4 linked regions of the Rhinolophus ferrumequinum genome follow. The protein of the gene in region 1 interacts with the protein of each later gene in a biochemical or structural test. Links are inferred from orthologs where the notes say so. Each region holds a gene or a part of one and is shown on either strand. Other genes may lie near its edges. The genes, in order: ERBB2, SH2D2A, SH2D1B and TNS3.

Region 1 (7,034 bases):
CCCACCCTGGCCCCTCATGCTTCCACTCAGCTGTCTCCCTCCCCACAACCCTGTAAGTGCCACTGGCCTCTGCCCCACTCCTGCTCTCAGTTCCCTGCCACTCTGGGAGCGCCCAAGAAAGAAGCAGACATGGGCTGGACAGGGAGAGAGAGAGAACTCCAAAGCCAAGCGATGACACGGGTGGGGGCCAGTTGAGCTACACTTTCTACAGCCTAAATAAGGAAGATCATTCACCTGCGTAACAGAATAGTCGGGCTACCCGGCTGCCCCTGAGGCTTTGCTCAACCCATTCCTATTGAATGGAACAAGACTGACCAACTCTTAATGCCTCCTCGTTAGAGTCCAAAATTGCCCTGGACATTATTGGGTCACTGGGAAACCTTGGATAAGTCACTTCATTTATTTGAACTTGAGTTTTCTCATCTGTGCAGAAACTTCACAGGATTGTTGCAGAGATGAAATGAAACTGTATGGATAAAGAACCTGGCATGTAGGAAACACGATGTACATTTTTTGAAAGGGAAGTTCACACAGCAGTAGTATGGGTAATTCCCAACTGAGAGAAAAGAAAAGGTGCTTTGTATTTGGAATGCAATGTATTTTCTCTTCTTGCATTGGATCCCATCTTTTCAATTGTTTGTGTGTCTGTGAGTATTAAAATGAAGTTACTTTCCCTAAGTATAGTAAAAAGAAGGAAAGAGGCTGTTGGGAGACTCATATGGGAATTAAATATGAGCTCTGCAAGATAAAAAGGATGTGTTTGCTATCCTTTATAAAACCTTGACCTCTAAGAGAGGATCTCAGAAAAATCCCGACTCTCTGGGTCCTTCTCCATCTCCCCTTCTCCCCACATTCTTAACCCAGCTCTCAGCCCTTGGATGTAATAAGGGTGCTAGAGGCAGCTTGGTGGTGTGCTGCCATTTTAGACCATTTCCAGCAACACATTCAACATCTGACTGCACCCGCAGTGTGGGTTGAGGAGTGACGAGGAGACCCCAGTCTCCCGTGGGGGAACTGACTCCTCAGATCCCAGCACTGCAGCAACCCAGCCATTCCCCACCTGTTCAACTCGAAGGCCCAGGTGAGGAGGACAACAGCTCAGCCTGACAGCCCAGCCAGCCCTCAGCCTTCTCAGCAGGTCAGAGGTGAAGACTCGGCCTGGGTAACAGGGAAGGGTGGGCTCCCTCCCGGAGAGGAGACTTCTTCCTCAGAGAGAAGGCGTGGGGCCACCTCCCACTGTTTACAGCAGAGCTGGCCCAGCACCTTCAGGGAGTTCCTTGAGAGGGCAGAGTTCAGTCAAGTCCCCAAGTCAGCAGAGAGAGTGTTTGGCAACACAAAGCGGGCGCGCACGCACGCACACACACACTCACACACGCACACACATACACACACCTCAAGAACACCCCTCAGATATCACAGCAATGCTCTGGCAGGGGGGCCCTCAGGTGACACAGACAGGATGACACCCACCCCTTCTCCAGACTCCCTGATCTATGGAGACCACCCACTACTCCCAGGACCCAGTGCCGCAGGGAGCAGTGACGCCATTGTTCAAGGTGGATTAACAGTGGTTTCAAATGTATGGTTGGGGGCTCACTGGGGTCCCCACTACTTACTTGCTGCTACTTAACCTCTTTAAGCCCAGGTTTTCAGAAGGAAAATGGGAATATCAGTAGAACTTCTCTCATAGGGTTGTTCTGAGGATTAAAGGAGGGAACACATGCAAAATACCACGCAGTATTTCCAGCTTTAATCGTTATTGCATCGGGATGGACAGATGCGGCCAGACACTCGGTAGTCTCCCCATCAGCTTCTCCACACACAGCACGAGGGGAAAGGCAGCACAATCCACCCCTCTGCACACCCCTGTCTGGTCCTATTTCTTCGCCTCCCACTGCCCAGGAATCCCTCTCATAGAACTCTCCCATTTTATGCCCCAGACCAAGAAACCCACCACCACCCCTCTGCCGCCCCTGCTCTTCAAAAGTCACAAAGCACACAGTCTCTTTAGGAGCTGGCCCTAAAGAAACTTGTTCAAAACAAACGTCTCCCCCTCCCCCCCCACACCCCCGACTCCAGCGTGAGGCAACTTCGCAGTCCGACTGGCCAGCCTCTCCTCCCGGCTCTGGCCGGACAGGTTGTTTTCCCCACCTCCCCCTCCACACCCCGATCTTGCCTGAAGCTGGAGTAACTAAACCCAGTCGGCTGAAGGGGGGCGAGGAGGGGGTAGGGGTAGGGGCAGGGCAGGAGGGACCCCCGGGGAATCCAGCCCGGTCCAGTCCGGAGGCGGAGGCTGCCAACTGGAAAGGCTTTGAGAAAGCTCGAGGGGGCTCAAGAAGGGGACACATACACACACACAGTGCAATACACCCTTGGAGAGAAACTTTCTGAACAATTTCAGAGAACTTTTCTGAAAAGTTCCCGGAGCTGTCGCGGAGTCCGGAAAGCGCCTGTCTCCATAAAGAGACACGGAGAGGCGTCTTAATTGACCCCCCTGCCCCACCTTTTTTTGCCCCCTCCCCGCAGAGGGCCGGCGGCTCCGAGCGCCTGGACTGTCCGAAACTTCGGGTCTGGAAGTTCGTACGGCACCCCCTACCTCGCCTGCCCGCGGATTTCAGCGGGGTCCCAGGCTGCAAGGTCCCGTCGCGGCTCCCTGCCCTCCCCAACTCAGACCCACCTTGGGTGCCAACGGCTCCAGGGGGCAGGAGGGCGAGGAGGAGCCCCCAGCGGCACCAGGCCGCCAGCTCCATGGTGCTCACTGAGGCTCCGGCCCCATGGCTCCGGCTGGACCAGGCTGAGGGGGCGCCGGGCAAGGCAGGCGGAGAGGCCAGGCGCTCGGCGCCGGAAAGAGCACCCCGCAAAGGGGCGGGCCGCTGCCTGGGGGGGATCTTCTGAGCTCTCCGTGCACGATGGAAGGGAATCTCAGCCCCACAACTTCATTCTTGTACTTCCTCGAGGCAGCTCTCCTCCTCTACCTCCTCCTCCTCCTGTGATTGGGAGCCAGCGCGCTCACAGCTCGCCCCCCCCCCCCCGCCACCCCCTCCAACCGCATTCCTGCAAGTCCCTGGGAGTGGCAACTCCCGGCCTCACTTTCTCCCTCTCTCGGCGCAGGCCTGGGGTGCGCGTCCCTCCCAGCGGCCGGACGCCCGGGGTGCCTGCCGCACTTCTCATTCGTTTCCATAGAGAGCCCCTAAAAGCACAGGACGTGATTGCGCCCCCTCCCCCGGGAGTCTGGGGCAAGGGCTTTAGGCTGCCATCCTTAAGTCTCTTTTAAGTCGCCCGTTTTATTTTAAACATTTCTGGCGAGTTTGCATCCTACTCCATCACATGCCTATCCGTTTTAATACCAATAATGATTTTCCCACCACATTCTGAGGTAAAATTGATAGTCGAGGAGGGGTGTGTATTGTATTTAACCTGTGGCTTCCAGGACTCCCTAGGATACCTTCTCGAATTTTTCAGGTATCTTTTCCAGTCTGAAAAGCATGATTTTAAGAGGGTTTACAAGTTTGGAGGGAGAGAGTCAAATTGGAGGGACCTCCATCTCAGTCCTTGGAAAAACATCCTTCTTGTTTCTTTACCATTGGGGCATTCAACACCAATTTATCCGAGGTTTTTGCCTCTGTCCCTTGCTTTTTATTAGCTTGCTCAATTCCACCTCCCCACCCTGCATTCCACCTGGAGCCCCTGACCCTGTCCTTAAAGCCCAGTGGGGGGTGGGGCGTGGAGTGGGGGCAGGGGATGGAAGAAAGGCATGTTTCTGTTGGACATTCCAACAAAACATTGCAGGGGACATACAACTTACACTAACAAATTATTTGTTGTTTATCTGAAATTCATATTTAACTGGGCATCCTTATTTTTATTCGCTAAATCTGGTAACTCTAGTTGGAATGCCTCAGACAAGAGCTTGTGCTGTTCCAGAGGGGATCAGAGTCACCTGCTGAGTGCTGGAGAATGAGGGACAGTAGCATTTCTTAATCTGCTTCCATATTCCCAGCTTGGTTACAGGCAGGCACTTTTACAGTAGGGGGGCTGAGAACAGGGTGTTCTGGGATCAGAATGACCTGGGTGCAAATCTCCACTTCACCACAAATTAGCTGTGTGTGTGTGACCTTGGGCAAGTGACTGAGCCTCTCTGGGCCCATTTGCTTCCTTGTAAAATAGCATCTGGCATTCTAAGCTAGGGGTTAAAGGAGATAATGCTGCTAAAGCACTCAGCCCAGTACTTAGCATATAGTAATTGTTCAATAAATGGTCTCAGGTTTAGTTATACTGTGGTAGATCAGGTTTTGTGGGGCCTGAAGCTTATGAAATTTGGGGGATCTCCTTAGGAAAAGGAATACAAAGTTATGAACACAAAATTTGACACATGCAAATGAGGGGCCTGAAACATAACCTTCCCTTAACACCATGGTAAATCCCCTCCAGCTCTAACCAGTGATGTTCAAACTGCAAGTCAGGTTTTATTAGAAAGTTGGTCATGAAACCAATTTAGATGATCAAGACAAGTTTTTTTGTTTGTTTTCAAGAAATGGAATGGAATAGAAAAGATTTGCACACATCACATGTAGTAAGGGTAAGTATGGGTAAGGAAGGGTATGTGTATCTTGGTGATGAGGTCCAATGGATTGATTCTTTGGATCATAGTCACAAACGTTCAAGAAATACTACTGTGTATGGGGACACAGCTGCCTTTCAGGATGGGCACCAATATTCCTATTTTCTCTAGGGTTCAAGTTAAGAGTTAGAGAGGGTAGGGTCAAGGAAATGGAGGCTCAAACGAATCAACCAATTTGGCCAGGACCCTCTCCGGGCTAATGAAGAAAAAGTCAAACAGCCAGCAAAATCAGCTCCTCACCCTCACCCCAGCACATAGCCCAGGACCTGGTCAAGGTGTCTCTCAGCCCTCCAGGGAGAGGAGATGATAACCTGGCTCCAAGAGTCGCTTGCTGGTCACACACGGGACGGCTTGCCCCTGAGCGTGTGTGCATTGAGCCTTCAAGAGACCAATCAGGGTGTTAGGGTCCGTGTTAAAGAAGTCCCTTCTCCTCCAGGTCCACTCTACCCTGCCCTTGAGTTAGGAGGGCTGGTCCAGCCAGGAACGCTTCTGTGGCACCATCCTTTCCTGGACTGGACCCCTACTCTGTACCACTCTGTCCTAGAGGCACACTCCTTATCTCACTGAGTCCTAAGGTGCCAGAGGAGGCGCTTGTTATCTGTCCCCATTTTGCAGAAGAGGAAGTTTGAGGTTCCAAGATAATGGAAACTGAGGCACGAGGCTTTGGCTTCATCCATTCCCCTCCAGAGCTTGAATCAAGGGTACCATGAAACCACCCTTACCCAGGGCCCCTACAGGGGAGCCAAAGGAGGGTCCTCCAAGAAATCCCGGTAACTAACTACCCGTACCAACCCCCTGCTACCCCTGCCGAGACAAGCCCACCCTCTCTGCATCCCAGAAAGAAACCCGGACTGGAGACCATGGTCAGTCCCATTGGGCTGCTCTGAGGGGGCGGAGCCTGCAGGCGGGAGTGGGATTAGGGAGGAGCGGAGGTCAGAACTCACGCCTGCCCGGGAGGAGGTTCGAGAGGGGCCGGGGTTCCCAGAGAGAATGAGCCCATTCAGAGCCGGGAAGGAAGGGGAAAAAGCCTTGTCTGGTGTTTGACAAGAGGAGAGGAAGGGGGGCAGGGGTGGGCGCTGCTGATTCGCTTCTCCCCTCCACTGCCCCTCCAGCATGGCCTGGCAGGAGAGCCAACGAAAGAGGATATCTGACAGACAAAGGCTGGGGGGTGGGGGTGGAGGTTTGGAGGGGGCTGGGGGACCGACATGAGCCTGAGAGTTTGCCAGCAGGGTCCAGGAAGGACCCTGGGGAGGGAGACAGCTACAGAGAAGGGGTATAACTGCAGCACACAGTGGAGCCAATGGAGGGGCAGAGGAAAGATACATGAGATCTGCACGAGAAGGTCTTTGGGCTGCAGGTACCCGGCCTGTGGGCAGCAAAGGTGACTACTGGCACTGAAGAGGCATGAAGGGGCTCTGGCTTAGGGAGATGACCTCTGAGGGTCAATAGACTGGGGTCTGAAACCAGCAGCCTGTGAAACGCCAGTCAATTATTGACCAGCCGCTGAGACTGGGGGACACAAAACCGTGTGTATGTGTGTGCGTGCGTGGTGTGTGTGTGTGTGTGTGTGTGTGTGTGTTGGCACCAGAGTCTCCTCCCTCTGCCTACCTCACCAGCCAGCCTGGGTCAGAGCACTGAAAACAAACAGAAAAAGGGAGGAGACGGTCCACAGTCCGAGGTCCAGGCCACAAACTGGGGCCTACCCCACAGGGCCTCAAGTCTGGGACATGAGTTGCTGAGGAAGTGTCTTTATGAATTAGTTACTTGGAAGGAGTCCCCACAGGGAAGGCACCAGGCCTCCCTGGGGCCGCAGGAGAGTTATTTGAAAGATTTTGATAAGGAAATCTGTACTTCCTAAAGTTAGCCTTTTAAGAACACTTACAACCACTGGAAGGTCAGTCCCTGGGCCCAGGGGTTAGCTCTAGTCCCAAGGTTAACAAAGGAGGAGAGGCCAAACGGACATGTCGGACACGCTGACCTTGGGCATCCTGATCACCTCCCTCAGCCCCTCTCACCCCCATCTTAGGCTTGCAGGCCCAAGGCCTTTCTCTCTCCCTAGGCTGCTTTGCCAAGACAAAAAAGTGCCCTTGTGATCTCAGCCTCAGCTGGCTTGAACGCAGGTATATGAGTACATGTGACTTCCATCCTGGCCTGTGCATAGGAGGGAGGCTGTCACACTTTGTGTTCCTGAGTCCTGTGCTGTCAGTGTGTTTGTGCTGGCCGCTTAACATATGTCTTTATTTATCTGGGGGTCTTTCCTCAGACAACAGCTAGATTGTGTGGCCTTGTGTGAGGCTTCACTTCGCCTTCTGAAATGTGAGAATTAGATTGAATGGTTCCTGGTCACAGTGTTTTGGGAGTTGATGTGGGGGACCCCTTTAACCCCCATGCTTATCCCTTGAAAGCCCTATTG
Region 2 (7,319 bases), on another chromosome or scaffold:
CTGTCTGGGCACTCTCACTCTCAGCCCCTGGTGGCTCTGTGCGGCGGGGATGGTTTCTTAATGCCCCTCCCCGAGCGTGCATCTTTCTGGAAGGGCTTCCGGCCCAGACGTGTGGGCAAGAGGCATGGCTGGGTAATCTGTTGTGAGGAGAAAGGGCCTTGTCCTGCGGCCTGAGCTCTGCGTGAGGAGGGGCACGGCCTAGGTCCCCGGCTGAGAGTCAGGGCGGTGTCAGGGGGTGGCTCATACCTGCCGGGCGAGGGGCTGGCTGAGCGTCTCCCCATACGGGCTGAGCGGGCACGTGGTGTAGTGCAGCAGCAGGTCCTGCAGCCGCGTGTGGGCGCTGTCCTCACCCAGCACCACGTGGCGCCCGTCCTCAAGCTGGGCCAGCAGGAAGTGGCGGCAGCAAGTCCGGCTCCTGGAGGGCGCCAGTCCGGATGCGACCAGGGATGCGACCCGCTCCCTTTCCCCGGCCAGCGCCACCCGCCCTGTGCCAGGGTGTCCCACTCTCAGTAGCAGGGGTGGGGAGTGGGGAGAAGGGGGGCGGAGCAAAGAGGGGTCGACAAGTTCAGCCCCTCGGATTAGCGGGACGCCCCGCCCCTCACCTGTAAGTCAGCACAAAGGTCACGGCGCTCTCGCTGAACCGCACCAAGTAGCACCCCTGCGGCCTGGTCTCCAGCAGCCTTTCGGCTTCCCTGTGTGTGGAGAAGAGACAGCGCTGCTCTGACTCTTCCAGCCTCTGCTGTCTCCCAGCTCTCATGGGGGACCCTTACCCCCAACCAAGCAGGCTGAAGTGGCTAGAGAAGAGTGGAGGTGGGAGAGGGGATGTGGGCCCCCCAGGACAGCTTCCAGCCCTGCATCCTGGCCTTGTCCTGGAAGGGCCGCGCAGCACCAGGGATGGCAATAGACTTTTAGATGTCACACGTTACAAGCGGAACAGAGCAGGCAAACACAGGAACAGGAGAAACAAACTGAGGAACTGCAAGGGAGGGAAGAGAGAGCAGAGGGCTGGGCGAGCCCGAGGGACACAGGCGGAGACCAGGAGGAGCGAGGCCTTAGATAGGGGAGGATAACTGAGCCTAGAGAAGGGAAACCGAGGCACTGAGGGGGTTGGGCTGGAGCCTCTCCGCGATCTCCCCCAGGAGAGGTGCCTTAGTGAATGGCCCCGGGAGCCTCCAGGAGGAGATATACCTGGACTCGTAGCCTCAACCTACTCCTGAGACGCAGGACTTGTCCCCAGGCCTCTCTGGGCCTGTTTCCTCCTCCGTGACTCACCTCCGGGTGATGAAGCCGTGGAACCAGGGAGGGGCTGCCCCATGCTGCAGGAACCCGTGGGCCTGGGTCTTCTGGAACCAAGCCCGGGTCTCGGCCTGCAGGGGCTGGTCTCCTTCCCTAGGCCCCTCGTCAGCCTTTCCAGTGTCCTCTGGGCTGGCGGCAGCCCCTGGGGCCTGGGGAGATGCCTGGTTAGGGGGAGAGTTCCAGGAGGGAAAGGAGCCATGACTAGTGGGCCTGCACCTGCCTCCACGCCAGCGGCCATCTTCTCATCCTCACCCCCAGCCCCTCCTGGGCGTGGGGTGGAAACTCCCAACCCCCCATCCTACTTGACTGTTTTAGGGTAGAATCGCCCAGGAAGCCCTTCCCAAGGTCTAACTTAAGTCCCATCTTTAGCTCCAACTGTCCTGGTTTCCCTGCAGGCCTTCTGCTCCCCGCTTTGCTCCTGGGCCTTTGCTCCAGCAGCAGCAAGTGGCAGGCTGTGCTTAAATGTGGCGAGGCCTTCCAGTGGCCAGAAGGTCATTCCCTGGGCTGAGGAATGACGCAGGAGGTCACCCCCCCAGGCCAGAATGAGGGAGCGCTCACCTAGGAGGGGGCACTGGCAGGGCCAGAAGACCAGGGTGTGCTGGGCAAACGAAGGCCGTGAACAAAGACGTAGATGGCTGCTTCCGGACTCAGACACTGTGCCCTGGTCACCTGGGACTCAGCCTGAGCTTCCCAGCTTGTCTCCTTCCCTCCCTCTGTGCCCCACATCACCCCTGCCATCTCCCACCCCTGTCCATCTGCCAGTGCTCCCCCAGGGGAGGGCTGAGGGCAGATGAAGTTGCTGCACGCCCAGGCCCCCACTCACCGAGGCGTGGACAGCAGGGGCTCTGGGGCTGGGCTGGGCCTCCTCGACCTTCAGGGCCTGGAGCCTGGCCCTCGGAAGCAACCCCAGGCCCTGGCAGCCCCTGCTGGTGACATCCAAGGGCTGAAAGGTGCTGAAGGTTGGCGTGGGGGCTTTGCGGTTCCCTGTGAGCAGAAAGAGGACAGCTGGGGCTTCTCAGTGAGGGGCTGCCTGTCTCCGTGTCCCCCATGCCCTGCAGGCTTAGAGGGGCCCTGCATGCCTGTGACCAGGGACCTGGAGGAAAGGGACGGTTATGACAGGAGGAGAAATGCAGGTGGGACATGGGGCACTTCTCAGGGAAGAGGAGTAAGGGGCCCAGGGGGCACAGAAGGGCTGAGGCAGCAGAGAGGCTTGTCCTGGAAACGGTACCACGAAGGGGATCTGAGATGTCAACTGGCCTTCCGGTGGCCCGGAGTCGGTCCCACAGTCAGGGAGGGAAGGCAGGCCCTCCTCTGGCCCAGCGTTCTGCGCCTTCCCCTTTCCCTCCTGCCCTCTCCTCCTTCCTCCCTAAGAAGCATACAGCAGACCCTGTCACCTTTGTTCTCAGGGCTGAGTGGACCTGCAGCCCCAGAGAAGGAAGAGGGGTTGTGGGCACCAGCAATCAGCCTTGCCAGCTCCAGCTCTGGGTGGGGCCCCGTCCTCTGACTGGGGGCTCTGGCCCTGAGAGAGAGCAGGGACCTGGTGGTCTTGTCCCCCCCGACACACATTCTTCAATGTCACACGTACCTTGGGGGCCTCCCTGGGCCAGGGGGAACTCCATGGGTGCAGAAGGAGCCTGGGAGCAGGGCGTGTGTGTGTGTTCCCACAAGGTGTGCACACTCAGCAACTCGCTTGTCACCCCAGCCCCCAGGGCAGGAAATGTCGCCTCCCCACAGCCCTGGCCCTGGCAGAGGACCCACGTCATGGAAAGTCGTAAGACACTGGTCCCTCCCCCGGAAGCCAGGAAGCTAAAGGTGGTGGCGGTGTGGTGGTGGGTTTTTGTGTCACTCTGTGCCTGGCTGTTGGGGAGTCCTAACTGCCATCTGACCTGGCTCCCCGATTCTCTGTCCACTCCCTGCAGACCGGGACTCCCCCTCTCTCTCTGCTTCTGCCCTGAGCAGTGGCAGTGGGGAGGTCAGCCTCAGGGCTGCAGGATCCTTGGAGGTTTATATTCAGGATTGTCCTCTTAGGACACCTGAGGAGGAGAGCTAGGAGGGGAGCGGGCAGTGCTGCAGCAGGAAGGGTGCGGGCAGACTTCTGGAATGACATTCTGAGGTCATATAAAATCTGAGAGGAGAGGTGAAAGGAGGGGGCCTGCCTTCATCCTCCAGCAGATAAGGAGCTGAGTCAGGGCGGGCAAAGCCAGCAATCCTGGGGGAGGGGTGGGGGAGGTGGCCTCCAGCTGGGCAGGCCCCTAGTAGCTGGGCCACTGTTAGCCCTTGTTGTTCTTTATTCAGTGCTGGTCTTAAATGCCACCAGAGGACTAGTTTCTCTCTCTTGTGATGCTCACACACGAGAAGGGGACTGCGAACATTATCCCCATTTTCCAGAAGGGAAAGCTGAAGCTCAGAGCGGCGCCTTGGCCAGGGTCCGTCCATGTCTCAGAAGTTGGTGAAAGGGTTGAAGCCAAACCTAGATCTCTCGCGCCGTGACAGCCAACGGTCCATGCTCTGTGCCAGGCACTGTTCTTGGTGCAAAGAACCCAGAGAGAAAAAGGATCTTGTCTCAGATTGTGTGGGGCGGGATGGATGTGCCCATGAATACTCACAGCGGGGAGTTAGTGGTGTGGGCGGGCCCCCGGGAGCCCCTGGTGCGCGTGTGCGGCTTGGGGTGTCAGAAAAAGATACTGAGCTGTGCTGTGGAGGAAGACGGGGAAAGGTGTTTCTAGAAGACGGGTGAAATGCACGGAAGAAATGGCGTGCTGCAGGGTAGCTGCTGGGACAGTGGCACTAGGGCTGCCACCGGTGGTCATGCAGCTGGAGGGGACACCCCCGGATTGGATGGGTGCGGCCTTGCACCCAGGACAGAGTGGCACAAGGAACGGCACACTGCTTCCTAAATGCCCTCCCCCGCCAGAATGAAACGCGCTCCTTCTGCTAACACATCAGTAGTGAAAGCAGGTCGCGTGGCCGGGCTCATTTCTAGAGTCAAGGGTGTGCCTTCTTCCATACGCCCCGAAGGGGAGGAGAACCAGCTTGGTGGGAATCCCTGCCGTCTACTGTCTACTAGACAGAGGAAGCACCCAGCTCATTTTTCCAGTCAGCAGGGCAAGCTTAGCAAGTGTCTTAGCAGGTCCCAATGCAAGCATCCAAGTGGGACCCTCTCCTTGGGAGGTACACGCTCAGGGTGAGGAGGACGAGGAAAAGAGGGGTGACCCAAGAAAAACATGCAAAAGAACATTGCTGCTTTGGTTACCACTTCAAAATGAGCCGCAATCAGACACCATGGCTGCTTGATGGGCTTTGTTCACTTGGCAAAGGGGCCCTTGTCCAGACAGGGTACAAGGTAGAACCACACCTTGGAGTAAGAAGTCCACAGGCGGGAGAAAGGAGGGGACTTACCTCCCCAGCTGCCTGTTCCCTCCCACTGTCCACTGGTCAAGGTTATGCCACAGGAAGGGACTTAGAAGTGGTTGCGTCTTTTGGACGCAGTGTTCACTCAGGGAGCAGGTTCCGTGGCTCCTGCATTGTGCGCTGTTTGGGATGAGACAGGATTACGGTCAGGACACAGAGAGACAGGCTCAGGGTGTGCTCTGTGAAGACCTAGGACTTCACCTTGGACTTCAGTCAGCTCAGGCCGCACGGAAAGTGCTCTGAGGGAGGTGGCAAGACTTTGGAAATAAGGAGTCGACGAAGAGACTCTCAGGACATGTACACGTGTGTCCCACACCTGCAAGTCAACGCTCACACCACAGTGCAGGGCAGACATGTGTCCTGTACAGACATGTGTTCTTATTCCCCAAGAAGGGAGCTTCAGGTCCGTGAGATCACATAGCCCCCTTCCAGGTAGAGGTCGAGTGTTTTTCTGAAAGACTGAAGAAAGAGGATTAGTGAAGAGAACAACCCCCCCAGCTGTAACTGGGGCTGGGCCTGGGTTACAGAGGTGTTGGGGGAGATGGGAACAGGGGAAAAGGCAGAAAGGAAGGGCGTGGAGGGACTGCACAGCCCCTGCAGCCCACAGGGCCGCCTTCCCAGCCCAGATTCTGCAGAGAATCCAGAATCCTGGTCACCCCACCTTGCGATTCTGCCTATTGGACAGGGAGGAGCCCGGAAACGGGCTCTGTCTCCATCCATCCCGCTGCGAAGGAGACACAGGGGATTGGTGCTGCTTGGAATTAGGTCCCCACCCCTCACGCTGATTGTCCGCTGCTCTGTAACCTGCCCTGGAATGGATCACAGCGGCAGGAGCGTCTCTGTGCAGCCTCGTGATGCCCAGGCGCGGCTCGGTGTGGCTGCAATCCCGCTCTGCTCCGCACGCTTCTAGAAACCATGCCCAGTACTCCATACACTTTGTCATAATTGCAGCGGAAGCAGTTTTCGTTTTTAAAATGGAATCACTCGCTGTCCCTGTCTGGAGGCCTGGGCCCAGGCCGTGGAGTCCCCAGGCACCTGGGCTGGAACTTGATTAGAAGTCAAGGGTGAAAAGGGCGCCCCAAGCACAGGGCCATGCCTCGGGGCTATGTGAAGAGCAGGTGGGGTTTGGGTTGGACCCCCTTGCCGCCCCACTTCTTTCCTTCTCCTCTCCCCTGCCTGGGTGATTTGGGGACGTGTGTGCTGCCAGAAGTTTCCTCAGGCTGAATCCCAACACCACCCAGGAGAGAGCTGGCAGGAGCAGCAGTGGCAGGAGGGTTGTAGGGAGTCCCCGTGCCAGGCGGCCAGTGGCCGTGTGTCCGGAGTGGGCAGTGCCCAGAGGGGTACAGAGAGATTGTGAGGACACTGGATGCTGGGAGTTTGCACAGGCTGCAGAGGGGCTTCTGGGTGGCCTGAGGGTCAGGTCCCATGGTGCTTGGAGGCCACCAGGAGGGGAGACCATGGACAAGTGGAGAGGATCCTGGTGGTCTCAAGGGTCCCCAGAGGAGCAAGGGAAGCTCCAGGCGTTCTGAGGCATCTGTGAAGCTGAGGGGGCGTCTTTGGGGTCAGGACAGGAAGATGTTCAGGGTGTCGGCACCTCATAGACTCTGGGGGCTGGAACTCGAGGTCTAGAGGGGATGGGGCTCAACAGGTCCCCTCTTCTCTCGTCCAGCATGGTCCAGCGTGTAGACGCTGTGCCTGAGAGGGAGTCATGGCAGCCAGTGTTGCGGGCTCCTGGTACTGCCCGCGTGCAGCCCAAACATCACCCACGGCCTCTGAAGGAGGAAGCAGATCGGCTGGCAGATGTCCCAGCTCAGGCATCCTGCCGTGAGCCTGGCAGTGGACTTTCCATTTGACAGATGAGCTAAACTGAGGCCAGGAGAAGCAAATGCTCAAGCAGACTAGGAGGTAGGTTTACCCTAAGATTTGGTTCAGTACTTTTTCCTCTCTGCCCTCTGCCCTGGCTGGTTTGCTATCATTCATTCATCGAGCAGCCACTGACAATCAGTTATGTGCTGGAGTGTGAGGTCGTGTCAAGGACTACAAGAATAAGACATGCGGGTAGGGGAGATACACAGGTAAACAATCCTAGACGATTCAGAATGACAGGAGCTAAGCTAGAAGCATGGGGTTCAGCGGGTGTAGGAAGGAGTGGTCCTCCTGCCTGGGACAAAAGGGTCTGGGGGAGAGAGGTCAGGAAAGGCTTCGCAAGCACCAATTGGCTGTTACACAGTAGTCGTGGGATGTGGGGTACAGCACAGGGAATAGTCGATAATATGGTGACAACTACGTGTGGTGTCAGGTGGGGACTATACTCATTCGGGGGATCACTGCGTAAATTATATAAATGTCTATCCACTCTGCTGTATACCTGAAATTAATATACAATAATACTGAAAGTCAATTGTAACTGAAAAATTAAAATGACTGTAGTCGTTTTAGTCAACAATACGGTGACAGTGTGGATGGTGTCCGATGGTTGCTGTCCTTGTCATGGAAATCACTTCTTTGGGTATAGAAATGTTGAATAACTATGGTGCACCCCTGAAACTCATATAATAGCATATGTTAGCTATATTTTAATAAAGATCTTTTGTAAAATAAGAAAGCTTCAG
Region 3 (7,382 bases), on another chromosome or scaffold:
ACCAGTCTTGACACGTCCCTGCTCAGAAACCAGCCAGGTTTCCCCGTTGTCTACGGAATCCTCCTGTTAAGCCGCCATAATAATATCCCAAATCTACTTTTCCCAAAGTGGGTTTCCAAACGACCTTCCCAGGACCCTGCATGAGTCGCCTGTGCCTTAAAGTACCCGTCTTCTAGACCCATCCCTGCGTTGCCCCCTAGAGTCCCATGCACCCCGTTTCCAGGTCACCGAATCTTACCCAGTCAAGCCCCAGCTCATCACACCTCCTCTGGAGGCTTTTCTGCTCATCTCTGTCCTTGAATTTGAACACAACTGTCTATTTTGGAATTTATACTTGACCTCGCTCTGTTTATTTAGAACATGTCGGACTCTCCTTAGACTCTGCCCAGGCCCTAGCCCAGGGTTGGAATAGGCAGTAGAATTCACTGCATTTTTTTTTTTTTTTTTTTTTTTAATTTATTGGGGTGACAATTGTTAGTAGAATTACAAAGATTTCAGTTGTGCAATTCTGAATCACATCATCCATAAATCACACTGTGTGTTCACCACCCAGAGTCAGCTCCCCTTCCATCACCGTCACTGCATTTTTATAAACATTTTTTGAAATTACAAAAGTAACACATGCACGTAAAACATTCAAACAGTGGAAAGAAGTCATCACATGAAAAGAATAACCCCATACCCTTTTCCCTACTCACTCCTCCTAGATGTCCCAGCTGTAACCACGATGATAAGTTATATACCGTCTAGAAATTTTATATGCATATTCAAGGAGAGAGGCATCCTTTTTTAAAAAAAAACAAACACACAAATGGAATCATACTTTGCATCCTGCCTTTTTTCACATAACAATAGATCAGGCGGTTTTCTCATACCGGGTATGGATTTATCCAGTCTTGTCAGTGTCGATTTGCACATACTTGTGTGATCCTAACCTGGAGAGAATCGGGAGGGTGTCTGGGAGGGGACCCCACTCCCTGTCATCATAAGAGCCCTGCAGGAACACTATGCTGACCAGGGACCTGTGGTTCTGGCCCCTCTCCTGAGTGTCCTGTCCCCCGAGTGTCCCCTTTGTAAAGACCTTTTCCATCTCCCCAGCAGAAACCTCACCTGACTGTCCATGTCAACATGCACCGGGCTGCAATCCTTTCTTTTTCCTGAATAAATCCTTTTTATTGATGGAATACCTACTGGATTTTGGTTTGCAGTGGACACTAACTAGGAGATAGGTTTTTATTAGTGAAATTTGGGGCCAAAGGTTTGATCCAGGCATTTTATGCTTTTGCCATGTAACCACGGAGTTGCTGTCCCCACTCTGACTTCCTCGGGCATTTCCATAGTTTTGATTCTTGCCCATTGAGCGTAAAAAGGGTGTCCTGTTATTCTGTTCATTTGTACTTCTTTACTTATAAGCGAGATCTGGCAATTTCTCATGTCTTCTCCACACTTCTGTTTCAGATAATTGCCTCCTCTTATACTTTACCTAATTTTCTACTGATTTTTTTAAAACTCTAATTAATAAACTCTAAACTAATAATTTTCCTGACAGGGAACCATCCTTGATGTCTTAGATTGGACCATACTTGAATGTATTTTACATGTTACTGGCTTCAATTTGATTAGTAGGTTATTGAAAACTGATACTAAATGAAATTGAAATTGGTCTGTAGTTATCGTTTGTGCATCTGTCCTTTTGGCAAAAAAATGTTTTACCTTCATACATAGAAACTGGAAATAAATCGGTAAAACAGAAGACAGACAACCAAAGCTAAAAGAGGGGAAGGGATGTGATTGCACAAATCTCAAAAGAAGAATTACCCTCTTTTGAGTAAGAAAATTTGATGAAATCACTGTCAGTATTACCCATAGCTTGAAAATGCAAACTGCTAGCACCTTAGGGCTGCATTTCTCATGCCTGTGTTGCAGCGTATAAAGAGGGGGTGCCCTCCACCCCCACCTGTGCTGTCACTTCTGTCCTCCTAACTCCCTCGTCCTGAGAAACACTGGAGCATGCATGCATGCACTGGGTTTTCATTCCTATAACGAACAGAAGAAGTTCAGTGGTCCCCCCAATGTGGAGAGTACTGAAAGGTATTAGGCCCCACTGACACCTCTGGGGTGCTATTTCTCAGGCTGATCAGGTGCCTTCACGGGGCCCTGGGCTGACTCTGGCCTGGAACTTCACCCTGAAGTCAGCCAGACTCTGGAACCGCCGGGTGAATCTGAACACAAACAAACTGAGTGAGAAACCCACGTCTCTGTTTCTCCATCTGTACACGGTGCTGGCCTATGCTGCTTCGGCAGACAAGATGGGTGAGAGGGAACGGCGTAAGCCACAGCCCTTTACCAATCTAGCAGAATTGAACTGTTATTAGCATTTGAAGGATTGCAAGTGGAGCCCACAGAATCCGTGTAAAAACTTGGTCTCTCAGGTAGACTTTTCACAAAGGACCCCTGGCCTTTTTCTTAACCAAATAAACAGACTCTGCAGGAGAGCACCTTGGTTGCAAGGCTAACTAGGGGTGTCCCCTCACCTCCCAGGCTTCCTGCAGGTTCCCTAGCACCCCACTTCTGCGGCCGCACACAGTCTGCTCGTGTGGCCGTGGCACCAGGGAGAGCAGGGCGTGCTGAGGATGAGGACAGTCGCGATCCTCCCCGCTGTCTTGGGTCCCCCCTTGTCTCCCTCTGCTCGCAGGGCTGCAACGTCAGAGTGAAATATGGCTTCCTTTCTGTTTGGTTATCGTTACTACCCTCATGTAAGGTTTGAAATGTGTGGTAGGCGAGGCTACTCACCAGACGCAGAGGCACAGAGCCCCGGGCACCGACTCGCTGTCCCGTAACAGGAAATTGCCGTCCACCCCTTCCCTGAGCAGCAAACTCTCACAGTCAGTCTTGGACAGAGGGCCGTGGTAGTAAGGCAGATCCATGGGGACGCGCCCTGTGGCCCTAGGACTCAGGCCAGAGTCAGGGGTGGCTCTGAGGAGAGACGCAGAGGCAGCTGGCCAAATGGAGATACCCCTTCCTGCTCCAGCCAGTGGGCGTGACTTGAGGCTGGTCTGTGGACTCCACGCATTTCGCAAGAGCAGGAAATGCGAAGGGTGGAGGTGGTATGTGACCAAGCCATTTTGGCTGTACTCGGCCGAAGTGTGACTTATACCTGTGGGCGACAGTGTGCTTGAGACTCTAGAGAACATGGGGCTCCCCTGGGGCTGCCATGGAGCAGTCACGCTCCCCAGAGCCTGCTGCAGCACCCGAAGTCACCAGGCGTCACCTGCTCTGGCTCCTGGTGGCCCTTCCGGGAACACAGCACTGCTCATGCTCTAAAGAATGCCATTTTCTGCTGGAGTTGTTGGTCTGTGCTCAGCTTAGAACGGGCGCTCAGAAAGTGTTCAGAGGCTGCGAGGGCCCAGGTACGTGCAGACTCACTGGGACAGAAAAGGCTAGGACTCCCACGGGTCAAAGGTCACGAGGAATGGAAGACATCAGTGGGGGAGGACGCAGTGGGACTCCATGGGGCGACGGCCCACCCCTGCCTCAGGCTCCTTGCCACAGGTGAACAAGGCCAGTTTCAGCATCCTCAGCTTTGCGTTTTGGGGACAAGTAGCAGGCGCAGGTGGGAGGGACACGTGGGTGTGCAAAGCAGTGACGTGTCCCCATGAAGAGAGACCAGGAAGCATCATCCGGCCAGAGACACTTGACCCCCTTTAGACACACTGCTGTTGATGAGGAAATCTCTTTCCACCTTGATCGGCTGATACCGTGGGAAAGCTGGATCCTGTTACCTGAGGGTCAGAGCGGCCCTGAGGGCAATTTCTCAGGCCTTCCCCCAGCTTGGCTGAGACCTAATCGACATATAAGGTTGTGTAGTTCAAGGCGTACGACCTGATAACTCGATCTCCCACCACAGGCCAGTGAACACTCCATCACGTCCCGTAATTGCCATTTCGTTCTGTGGGGGGGCACACGGAGTCCTACCCACTTGGCAACTCTCAAGCAGCAGGGCAGTGCTGACTAGTCGCCATGCAGGACACGACATCCCCGCGCGTTCTCGTTTGGCCACAGGAGCTTATGCCCTTTCACCCCCATCTCCCCATTTCCTTTGAGCAACCAAACCATCCCACAGATGATTGAGTCATTAATCAATGGTTAAGTAATTTCACATAAATAAGCCATGTAAGCGTATCTGTAATCCAGTGTCAACTGGTATAAACGGAATGGAATTTCTCTTCCTGTCCTGCTGCCTTAGTCACATATCTGTGGGAGTGGCTCCGTATCTCAGGTACGTCCCATGGCAATTCAAACCTGTGTTCACGGCCCTTCCTTACTTTAGCCGAGGCGACGGTGTCAGCTGTCCTGATCGCCACCGTGAGGTCTGGCTGCCACTGGACTTCCTTGCAGCCCACACACTTGTGTTCTCCAGGGGAAGTCCCCCTGCTCTGCCGTTGGTGTCATGGAGCGGCATGCAGTGACACAATCAAGAGAGATACTTTCAAATCCCAATTTCTCTCGAGCAGCCTGGGGCAATTTGCTACCTAATTTCTCGGGAATAAAGACAGTCAAGGAGAGAACGTTTAATGCTGAAAGAGGAAACTTGCTTGAGTACCAAGCTTGGTGTAAGGCTACTAGTTACAGAAAGGAGGAAGTAATTGGGAGTCTGTTCATTATCACAGGGGTTTTCCTGCCTTTTTATACATTTAAAAACCTACCCGCCTCTCCTCACTCATCATGAGTGACGCACGTTGATTCCACTCTGAGATAACATCTCTCACCTACACATTGGTGAAAATCAAGTTTGGACACAGTGGGTTGGCCATGCTGGGGTGAACTAGGGTAATAACGTCTCATGCATCATTGATTGGAGTGTAAAATGGTGACACTGGGAAGGAGGACAGTCTAGCAAAGTGACATGTGTTTACTCACTGACAGAACCCTCTCAAGTCCGTGTTGTAACACCTCCTGAAAGGAATAATTCGGGCAAAAACAGTCAGTGGGTGAAAACTTTAGGCAAGTTTGATAATGACCTTTACCAGTGAGAGGTCAAACTGTCACCACCTGAACCCACTGATCAGACTTAGCCTGTCCCAGAGGGGGACAGCCAGACTTGGATGCAGCAGGAAGCACAGAGGATCCCTCTGAGGTGGGCCCCAAACAGCAGGACCAGAAATGAGTCAAGGCTGTATCACTAAGTCTTATGGGACTGTCACGAGACAGACACATCCAGGTCTGGGACATTCCGTAGGACGTGTGTCAGCTGGTACTCAAATCTCACTGTTCTAGAGACACACCTTGAAATAGTAACGTCCCAGATGGAACGTTCTGGGAGGCCAAGGGTAGGCCCTGACCTGAGATGGGCTAATCAGAGACCCTTACCGAGGAATTGGAAGGAAATGAGGAAAAGAAGAAAGAGAGGGCACAGAGGACTGACTGGGGTGGGAGGAGGAAATATGAATGGAGATGAGTTCTCTAGGAATGCCTGTAAATAGGTGTATTTTTGTGCTGTGAACTGGTGGCCATAACCTGCCCAACAGCCTGTAGAAGGGAGAGAACTTGTCCATAAAATGAAGAATGCAGGTGACTCATGGAGAGAAACGTCAGGAAACAGCCTGCTAAGGCCACCTACAGAGTGGGCGAGCTGTTCTGCAAACCACATTTGATATCCACATGTGAGGTTAATATCCACATGTGTAAAGACACACCACTCGCTAGCAAAACAACCCCAAAGAATCCAATTTTAAAATGGGGAAAGCACCTGAATAGACATATTTGCAAACAAGATATACAGATTGACAACAGACAGACAGAAACCTGCTCAATGACCTTGGGTCTCAGGGACATGCAAGTGAAAAAAACCACAGTGAGGTGTCATCTCACATGTTCAGAATGGTTGTCCTTAAAAAGACAGAAGATAACAAGTGCCGGAGAGGCTGTGGAGAAAAAGGAATCCTGTGCACTGTTGGTGGCAATGTAAATTGGTATAGAGGTTCCTCAAAAAATTAAAAATAGAGCAATTCCGCTTCTGGGTATTTACCCGAAAAAACCCATGACAGTGATTTGAAAATATATATTTACATCCATCCTCCCATGGAGATACAAAAAAAAACCCAAAGAACAAAAAACGAAAAAATAAATGAAAGAAAGTGTCTGGGGATACCAAGAAAAGGACGCAATCCCGCCCAGCACACGCGCACACACACGCATGCACACGCACACACTCACATGCATACACACGCAAACACACGCATGCACACACACACACATGCTTGCACACATGCACCCGCAAGGCTCACAGATCGAGAGACAATTGCCATTCCTCACAGGGGTGTGTGACTGACACAGCTTAGGGTGGGGCCCCCCACCCCCAGCACTGGAGTCAGGAAGAATCACCTCACTCTCCACAGAACATTTCAAGTGTGTTGTCTGTGAAACGTGCAATCACACTGTGGGTCCATGTGGCCGTGAACTAGAAGGGGCTGCAGCTGCCCCACACTGGGGGCTGCTCAGTGCTCACTGCGTGAAGTTCCGATGTGGACACAACGGACTGTGGCGTTGGAGGGGGGCCCCTGGTTACCTTTGTGGGGGGAGCGCGTGGTTCGTTGGGAGGGGCCCAGTGCTGGTAACTTCCACTTCCTGGCTGAGTGCTGGTGATGCGAGTGGACTCACTTTCCAGTCATTTGTATATTCGTGACATGACACAAGCGAGGAAACCCACGTCCGTAAGGAATACTTTAAAAAATTTCCACCTGGTAAATTGGCCCAGTGTTTGGAGGGCAGGATAATTTTTTATAAATGCATGTCAAAGTTTTAAATGTACAGGTCTTTGACCAAACAATGCTATTTTTAGGAATTTAACATAAAGAGATAGTGGGCAAATTTTCAAAAATGTAATCTGTGCACGAGTGTGGTTGTGTGTTTGTAAGTGTGCAATGCTTGCGTGTGTATGTCAATGCACAGGGAGAAGTCTAGAAAGAATTTTGCCGAAATAGTCCCAAGGATCACTTATGCATGGCATGAGTTTAGAGGGTTTCTGCTTTCTTCTGTATACCTCTGGATTTTGTTTCAGTTTTCCACAGTGAACTTGTATGAAATGTAAGTCTCATTTTCTAGAATCTGGAGACTTTCCAAAGACCTCTTAGGGCCTCTGTCACTGACTTCTTCAGTTGCCACGGTCCCCTCAGTGAGGCCACGTGCCAAGTTGGCTCAGGTGGGGTTCTCCTCACTGCAGCCTTCCGGTGGCTGTAGAAAGCGCCCTCCCTCACCCTGCCCGTGGACCCCTTGCAAGCCCTAATGTCGCCTCCACTCTGACTCGACCGACTGTAAAGGCAGAGTGTCCACCACGCACGAGTCCCACTGCGGTGTTTTGTCTGCTGTTTTCCGGATGTTCT
Region 4 (7,344 bases), on another chromosome or scaffold:
AAAGAAAAGCTGCCAACCTAGAATTCCATACCCAGCAATAAATCAAAGTGAATTCAAAACTCCTTAAGCTGTACCAATGCTTCAGCCATTCCAAGCTCACAGAGCATGCGTGGGACAGCCAGCCATCTTTCCCCTGCTAGTCAAGCTCTCTGGAATGCTGGCAACAGTTTTCTCTGGGGATCACTCCAATCCCCACCCCAGTCCTTAGCAGTCCGGCAGCACTCTGGGCACTTATCTCCTGGTGTTTGGGTTGATCTTGTCGAGATTATCAAATGAGAGAAAGTGTCCTGCACCAAGCAGAAGCCGTGTCACCACTTCTGCCACCCACAGTACAAGCTTTGTGACCCTGGCAAGTCACAACCTTTCTTGAAGAGGAAAGATACCCCCTGCCTCCTGCCTGTTAAAAGAGCTACTGTAAGTGACCAAGGGCTCACCCAGGTGCCGGCTGTGAGCACTGGAAGCCTATGGGAATTGCTATGGCAGAGTTTTTAAAACAGCTCTGCCTCAGCTTCACCCCAGACTAAGGAGGTGGGGCCAGAATGTGAATTCTTTGAAAGCTCCCAGAAACTCCACCGTGCACGTGGGACTGAGAGCCAGCACTACCCATGGACTAGACCCTGAAGATGTGTTCTACAGCCCGTAAGGCACTGTTACTCCATGTGTCTTCATATGTGTGTCTGGGTTTGTAAGAGGTTGAACACTTTCTGAGAACCTTCCTTCCATGGGGGAATGACAGTGCTGCCATCATGAAGTTCACGGCACTGGCAGGACCCTTCCGTGCCATAACCACGGTCGTCACTGTTCCAGCGATAGGGCTGTAGGATGCCAGACAGAGACCACACAGCCAGTGGGTAAGGGACATGGGCTCGGACTGGTGCCCAGCCCAGCCTCATGCTCAGACAGGAGGAAGCATTCACGCATGTGACAAACACAGCCCTCCTTCATAATCCCAGTTTGGCACATCCATTCCTCCCACCCCCCCAAGTTTCAGTTCTTTGTTTCTATGCCTTTGGTCCTGTGCTTCACTGTCATTTCCTAGACGCAGGACGACGGGCTCTTATCCTTTGTCCTGCGAGCCCTGCATGGCACCTGCAGACACTGAACTGTGGACCCTCCATTAATATTTGTTGACCAAATGAATTGGCCAGTCTGTGGGCCAAGGAGGAAACACTGTGACCTTTTATTCCTTACAAATACCTTTATTCCAACCAGGGAGAAAGAGCCACTGTGTTCCTGAGGTTTTTTTCGTGGCCGCTGGGCCACAGCTGGGAGAGGAAGAAGGAAACAGCAGAGGTGCTGTTGGGAGGCTGGACCCATTTCAGTGGCTGGATGCCTGAGGATTCATTTCAGATAGTGTAATGACATCTGCTGACATGGCATCTGCACAAGGAGCCCAAAGGCGGATTAGACAGCCTTTGTTCTCACCTGAGAGGTGCTTTCATTTCTCCCAAAGAGGTGGGGCCCAGGAGCACAGGGGGAGGGGAGGCCTCGGTACTGCAGTATTGAGCAGGCTCAGTTCAGGAATCTAAATGGCATTCAATTGTTTGGAGCAGGCGGTTGGGAAGGGAGAGGGCAAGGCTAGGGGTTCCACCCTGAGGGGTGCTTGGTGGTCAGCGCTGGTCTTGACTGTGAGTTTTTTTAGAAAGAAAAATCTGAACATTTGGGGAAGGAAGTGCACCCCTGAGTGCAGAAGGGGAGCCACACCCCCCACCCCACTCTGCTCTGTGGTGAGGCAGAGCTTCCCAGACCTCCCTCCCAGGGGCTCCCACACAAAGCTACACCAGCAAAACCCAAGTTCTGTCTTCCTCTCAGGAAAGAAGATCCAGGGTGCATTTGGGGACCTGAAGAAACCTCAGCAGTCCAGGAAGGCAGACAGTGAAAACACAAATCGGCTGGATTCCGAAGTTAAAGGGCCACGAAACTTCCCACAGGGACAGTGTGTGCCCCAAACTGGGGGGTGACTGACCCTTCCTGGAGATGTGTCCATCCACTGGCAGCCACAGGACCCAGGACCCTCCCCACACCACACCTCGTCCTCAAGCTTCCCAGCAAGACCCTCTGGCTGGTGAGTTGAAAATGAGGACACTACACAACTCAGAAGGAGGGAAAGGAGCTGACATGTTGACAACCTCTCACTCCTCAGAACATTACCAAAGTTTCCAGGAAACTGAATGTCACCAAGGCCCAACTATTGAACTCAAAGAAAGGGCTGCGGGTCCGGTGGGAGGTGGCGGGGAGCCCCTCCCACATTCGCTCTGTTTAAATCAAGCCTCTGGAGGCCCCACCGTGGACCAGGGTCTCGGATGCAGCCGCCAGGAACTTGTACTACTGCAACAGGCCAGCGCATCCCAGCGTCTGCACAGAGCTGAGTGCCCTTTCCTTTGCAAGACAACACGGGCTGCGCTGGGAGTCTGCGTAATGGCCCATGTCCTACTTCCATTCCCTGAATGGAGTCCAAGGAAGCCTGTTCAAGAGGTGGTTGGATTAGAAAGTTAATCCTGAACTGTCTCCCACTCTGTGGCCTCAGCCGGGCGCCCGCCTCCCACCAGGCAAGGCCCGCTTTCCATCTCTCCTCCTCTCCTGCGCCCACACGCAAGGGTACACAAGCGCACACGCTGGGGCACAGACAAGGACACACGCGCACCCGTGGACATATGAGCACACTTGGGCACGCGCACCAAGGGCACAAGCGTGAACGTGCACACGCAGACAAGGGTGCACGGGCACAGGTACAGACTTGCACAGAGCGTGCACGGCCGCGAGTATGAGCGCACACGGGACGCGCGGGCTACAGCCCGAAAGCATTCATTTCTGAGCGCCCCGCACCCTGGCGCCCCCTCATCCCAGCGCCCTGCAACCCCCGCGCCCCCAGCGACCGGGTTCCCCGGCTCCCAGCGTCCTGCACCCACTCACTTGGCGCCGGTGCCGGCGCGCCCGGGCCCCGCGCGCGCATCCTCCAGGCGGCCCCCGAGTCAGGGCGCGCAGCCGCATGGCGGCTCCCGGCGCCGGGGAAGAGCCCAGCCGGGCCAAGTGAGGACGTCGGCGGGCGCCAACTCTCCGGGCGGCGGCGGTGCCCCACAGGGGTGCCTTCTGGGCCGCTGCGTCTGGGAGTCCCAGGAAAATTTCGACGCCCGGAGGCCCGAAAGGACACGGCCGCCACCTCCACTTCCACTCCGCACTCAGAAGTCAGACGCAGGGAACAAAAGCCAGGCGAGCAAGCGCACGGTCCCCCGGCGCCCCTCCATCTGACACGAATTAGCCCTCCCTCCCCCACCTCAGACCGCAGCTCCAGAAAGGAGGCGAAGGCTTCTCAGCCAAACCCAGGGAGAGTGGAGCAGAAACGCCCCCGGGGCAGGCGTGGGGGGCGAGGCTTCTGCCGCCTCCGACTGGATTACCTTCGCCTTCGGCTAGGGTGCCGCCCGACTAGGATTTCAGAGCTCTCCAGTAACTCTGACCAAGGTGCAAAATCAAAACCCGCAGGCGCTTTGGCTTCAGGGCTTGAAGTCTTGAATGCGTCTAGTCACCTAGTGCTCGGGTAATGGCCAGTATCGCTAGTAATTCCTGCTGCCTTCCAACCGTGGGTTTAGTGGGAAGAAGGAAAAGCGTCAGGCAGAAAGAAAGGCTTTCTTTCCGATTTGCCTCTTCAACTAAGAAAAACAAGGAGCAGCCTTGCTCCAGAGGGATGAGGTAGGGATTCCCCCGCTGAAAGCAAGTGATGAGGAGCCTTCCTCTGGGGCAGGGCCCCCGGCCTCCTGCCCCCCACCATCCCTGTGCCACCCAGCTCCCCACATCACATCCGATTTCCAGTCCCAGTTTGCTCATGGGGGCTGCGGTTTCAGAAGGAAATGTGAAGCCTGGAGTTTGGGAGGTGAAGGTGGGCTGTACGGTGGGGACAGGGTGTCACAGGAAGAAGGCAGACACCTGGAGAGGGGAAAGGCAGCGGGGAAGGGAGGGAGGGCTTCTCCATGGCCTGCCAGACCCCGCAGGATGGAGTCCTCGTGGGCTGTCCACACGAGCAGTGGGGCTTAATTCCACCAGGAGCTCCCGCATCTGTGGATGGAAGAGACAGGAAGGCCACCTTGGCCATGGCCCTGTCCTGCTGGGGCCACCTCCTCCCTCCAGTGGGGCACGGAGGAGGCCCCTGCACGGGAGCAGATGGCGCTGGGGAACCCTCTGGCCTCAGGCTGGCCCCCCCGTGTACCCCCAGCAGTGGCCCCAGTGACCTGACCTGACCTGCCCGGAGGCCCAGCCGTGTGTGGTTCTAGTGACCTGCGATGCGTCCACAGCTCAGAGCTGTGTTGGTCTAACGCCCGATTTCAGATCCTCCCCTCTGCTCGCAACTCCCAATGCCTTAGCTCTGCAGTCGTCTGGGTGGGCTGGACCAGGGCCTTCATGGTTAACACATGTGCGAATTCCAGCCCAGCCGAGGACTCCGGCTGGTTAACCTCTCAGGCTCTGGCGCTGAATATCCATCCGCCTTTCCGTTTCTGCAGTGGAACAGGAGAGCTGCTCTCCGACCTTCAACCACGAGAAGGCCAGGAGGGTGCCATTCTGGGTTCCGACTCCTGGCCCAGCAGACATCCAGCCCTACTCATTGCCCCCGTCGTCATTATTCACATTTTCAGACTTTCTTTTCTGCAGACACAGCCCTCTCCCCCGTGACTGCAGGAGCCTGAGCACACCCGGCCGCATTCATGTCTGCTTCCCCAGCACCTAACACAGGCTGGGCACGGACCAGTACACACACTGTACTGTCCAGTGCTGTCCAGGGCGGTGCAAACGCCTGGCCCAGAAGCCACGGGGTGCAGCACTGCCTCACCCACGGACTGGCAGAGGGACCCTGATCCCAGCAGACAGCAGGTGACCCCTAACATGGTAAAGCTCCCGTGGACCTGAGGACCAGGCTCTCTGGGGGTACCCCAGCCTCTGGAAATGTTCGTGCTGAATGCCAGTGCTCACGGCCAGGCCTGCACGATTGGAAAACAATGGTGGTTCTTCTCCTGGGGACTCCCTAGGTCTCCTACTTATTTGAAAGGTACACCATTCAGAAAACTCCCACACTTTACTACATGCATGTGATACACCCCAAGGGGTTGCCACAAGTAGTCAGCAATCAGGACGTGGTCTCTGCCCCGAAGCCCAAGCTACTTCCCCAAATGCAAAACTGGGAGCCTGCAGTGATTCCCCACTGTGCTAGCGGCCCCCCCTCCCCGGCCCTGCTTACACCTCAGCTCTGTGTCCTGGAGATTGCTGGCCCCACTCTGGCGTCTCCTTTTCCCTTTCTGACTGAAAACTGCCGCCTTTCTGGGCTCAGCTGCAGACCCGCCTCCTGCCCCACCTCCCTGACCAGTTAAATGCCCCCGACCCCACGGACCTCATCCTTGGGGCATAGCCCTGGAGTGTGGTCATCTGTCTTGTGCCTCCAGGCTGCAATCCTAACCTTTGTCTGGGGTTTTCCACACACAAAACAGAGCGGGAGCAATAAATGCTGGGGTAGGAAGGAAACAGTCGGCTTTGCTCCCTGTCCTTGCCGTCAATGTCAGTGTTTCACCCGACCCCCTCAGAAGCAAGCGGAAGCAGAAGGGTTTGGGGTCAGCTCAGTCTGGGGACCCTGGGGACCAGAAACCAGGGCAGGACTGGAGCCCACTCATCCAGGCGCAAACAACCCTGGCCTCGCCCGACTCACCCTGCCACTGGGCTGCCCCTCGTAAGGCTGCAGCCCTCCATGCTCCTCTCGGACCCAACGCCCAGCTGGGGCTGCTCGCTGCACTGAGTGCCCAGAACCAAAGCGAGGTTCTGCCTGCAGAAGACGGACTTCAGAGCACTGGGGACCAGACTGCAAGGACAAGCCCCAGCTCAGGGCCTTGGGCTGCATCACCCACCTGGGGCTGGACACCCAGGCTGCACTGCGGGCAGGAGCCCTTGGATGAGGCCGGCTCTGCCACGGATACAAGGATGGCTGGTGACGGCCGCTGAGAGCGATACTACTGGATTAGAAACCACTGGGTACAGTAGTAATCCATGAGGCCATGGGTCCTACTGACAGAAATCAGGAAACGCAGTGAAGGTCTGAGGAGAAACAGACGTCGGCGTGGCCTCAGGGCGCCTCCCACCCTGGGGACAGAGAGGATGGTGGCAGAAGGCTCAGCAGTAAGTGGGGCTGAGGAAGGGGAAAGGTTTTAGTCCCCACTTGTCCTGGGACCTCACCGAGGAGAGCCACAGTCTACCATCTGTCACTGTCACTCTGGAGAAGCTCTGCACAGTCTCCATTCCCCTTCCCTTTATTGTAAAAGGGGAACAGTAAGTCTACAACAGAACAGGCCCCCCACGCCTCCTCAGTCCTGGCCTTGCCAGGATGCCAGGGCAGTGACAGCACAACTCTCCTGCCAATGTTCCTGCTCGGGGACAATACCTGAGCAGGCCCTGCACGCGGACCTCAGGGGCGCCCACGCCCGCTGGCCCTGCCCCAGCTCCCAGCCTGGGGTCTGCGCTGGGGTCACCAAACATTCTGGGCACGCCAATGTCTGCACCCTCCAGTCCTGGCACACGCAGCATCTGTCACAGGCCAGTACACTCCTCCGTGCTGTGACCTGGAGAGGCAAGGAGTCCCCACCAGACACCTAAAGCATCTTAGAAGCAGGTTGCCTCTGACAACGAAGAAGACCCTTCGGTTTACAGAGCTCCTGCCCAGACAGCTGTCTGGGGCCTGCTCTCGTGCCCCCAGCTCTGAGTTGGCCCTCCCTCCCCGTCTAGCGGTGCTGGTGGCGGGCACACCTGGGCCATCTTGGGCGCAGACCTCGGGCAAATCCTGGCTCTCAGGACATCCCTCACCCTCCTCCCCTGCTCAGCAGGCGTCAGCTCCCCACTACCACCCAGGCGCACAGGCCACTTTCTAATACTTCCTGATGGGGAACATTGAACACAGGGGAAACCAAGGCCCGGGGCGCCTAGGGGTGAGTGGGGGGCCTGGGAGACGGAGAGTCAGGGAGCACAGGCATGTCACCTAACCCAGCACCCCCTCGGGACCACGGGGGCCACCTCGCAGGGTGTATTAGGACCAGGGCTGTAAGGCCTTGCCCCCTCAGCTTCCGTCTTTCACAGCCACTGCTTCTCCAAGTCCCAGCAGGTGCTCAAAGACGTGGTGAACGCAGGAGCACCTGGCCCCAAGGGGGTCTTTTAGTCCCATCAACATAACCCACATGTCTTGGTCGGTGGCTACAGAATTCAGGGCAACCCCCAGCCTGAGCTCCCAGCACCCTCCCACAGCTCATGGCTCCTTTTAAGGAACAAAGTGGTAACTTCTGACATACTTAGCAGAAGGTTTTTTGCCGATGCTCGGAAAAT

What was found.
Region 2: the proteins of ERBB2 (region 1) and SH2D2A form a complex in vitro, tested with the Homo sapiens proteins (2 studies listed by BioGRID and IntAct, with this or other methods). The link is inferred for Rhinolophus ferrumequinum from reciprocal best matches to the Homo sapiens genes ERBB2 and SH2D2A.
Region 3: the proteins of ERBB2 (region 1) and SH2D1B form a complex in vitro, tested with the Homo sapiens proteins (2 studies listed by BioGRID and IntAct, with this or other methods). The link is inferred for Rhinolophus ferrumequinum from reciprocal best matches to the Homo sapiens genes ERBB2 and SH2D1B.
Region 4: the proteins of ERBB2 (region 1) and TNS3 form a complex in vitro, tested with the Homo sapiens proteins (2 studies listed by BioGRID and IntAct, with this or other methods). The link is inferred for Rhinolophus ferrumequinum from reciprocal best matches to the Homo sapiens genes ERBB2 and TNS3.

What each region holds. Positions count from the first base shown.
Region 1 is NC_046304.1:36,302,337-36,309,370, reverse strand, and holds the start of ERBB2 (receptor tyrosine-protein kinase erbB-2), read right to left. Parts: upstream 3,008-7,034; 5' UTR 2,751-3,007; coding exon 2,678-2,750; intron 1-2,677. UniProt on the Homo sapiens protein: Protein tyrosine kinase that is part of several cell surface receptor complexes, but that apparently needs a coreceptor for ligand binding. Essential component of a neuregulin-receptor complex, although neuregulins do not interact with it alone.
Region 2 is NC_046305.1:1,171,361-1,178,679, forward strand, and holds the start of SH2D2A (SH2 domain-containing protein 2A), read right to left. Parts: upstream 3,001-7,319; 5' UTR 2,916-3,000; coding exon 2,882-2,915; intron 2,281-2,881; coding exon 2,120-2,280; intron 1,458-2,119; coding exon 1,273-1,457; intron 693-1,272; coding exon 603-692; intron 416-602; coding exon 247-415; intron 1-246. UniProt on the Homo sapiens protein: Could be a T-cell-specific adapter protein involved in the control of T-cell activation. May play a role in the CD4-p56-LCK-dependent signal transduction pathway. Could also play an important role in normal and pathological angiogenesis.
Region 3 is NC_046305.1:2,824,305-2,831,686, forward strand, and holds the start of SH2D1B (SH2 domain-containing protein 1B), read right to left. Parts: upstream 3,005-7,382; 5' UTR 2,928-3,004; coding exon 2,794-2,927; intron 1-2,793. UniProt on the Homo sapiens protein: Cytoplasmic adapter regulating receptors of the signaling lymphocytic activation molecule (SLAM) family such as CD84, SLAMF1, LY9 and CD244. In SLAM signaling seems to cooperate with SH2D1A/SAP.
Region 4 is NC_046303.1:1,022,900-1,030,243, forward strand, and holds the start of TNS3 (tensin-3), read right to left. Parts: upstream 3,004-7,344; 5' UTR 2,992-3,003; coding exon 2,914-2,991; intron 1-2,913. UniProt on the Homo sapiens protein: May act as a protein phosphatase and/or a lipid phosphatase. Involved in the dissociation of the integrin-tensin-actin complex. EGF activates TNS4 and down-regulates TNS3 which results in capping the tail of ITGB1.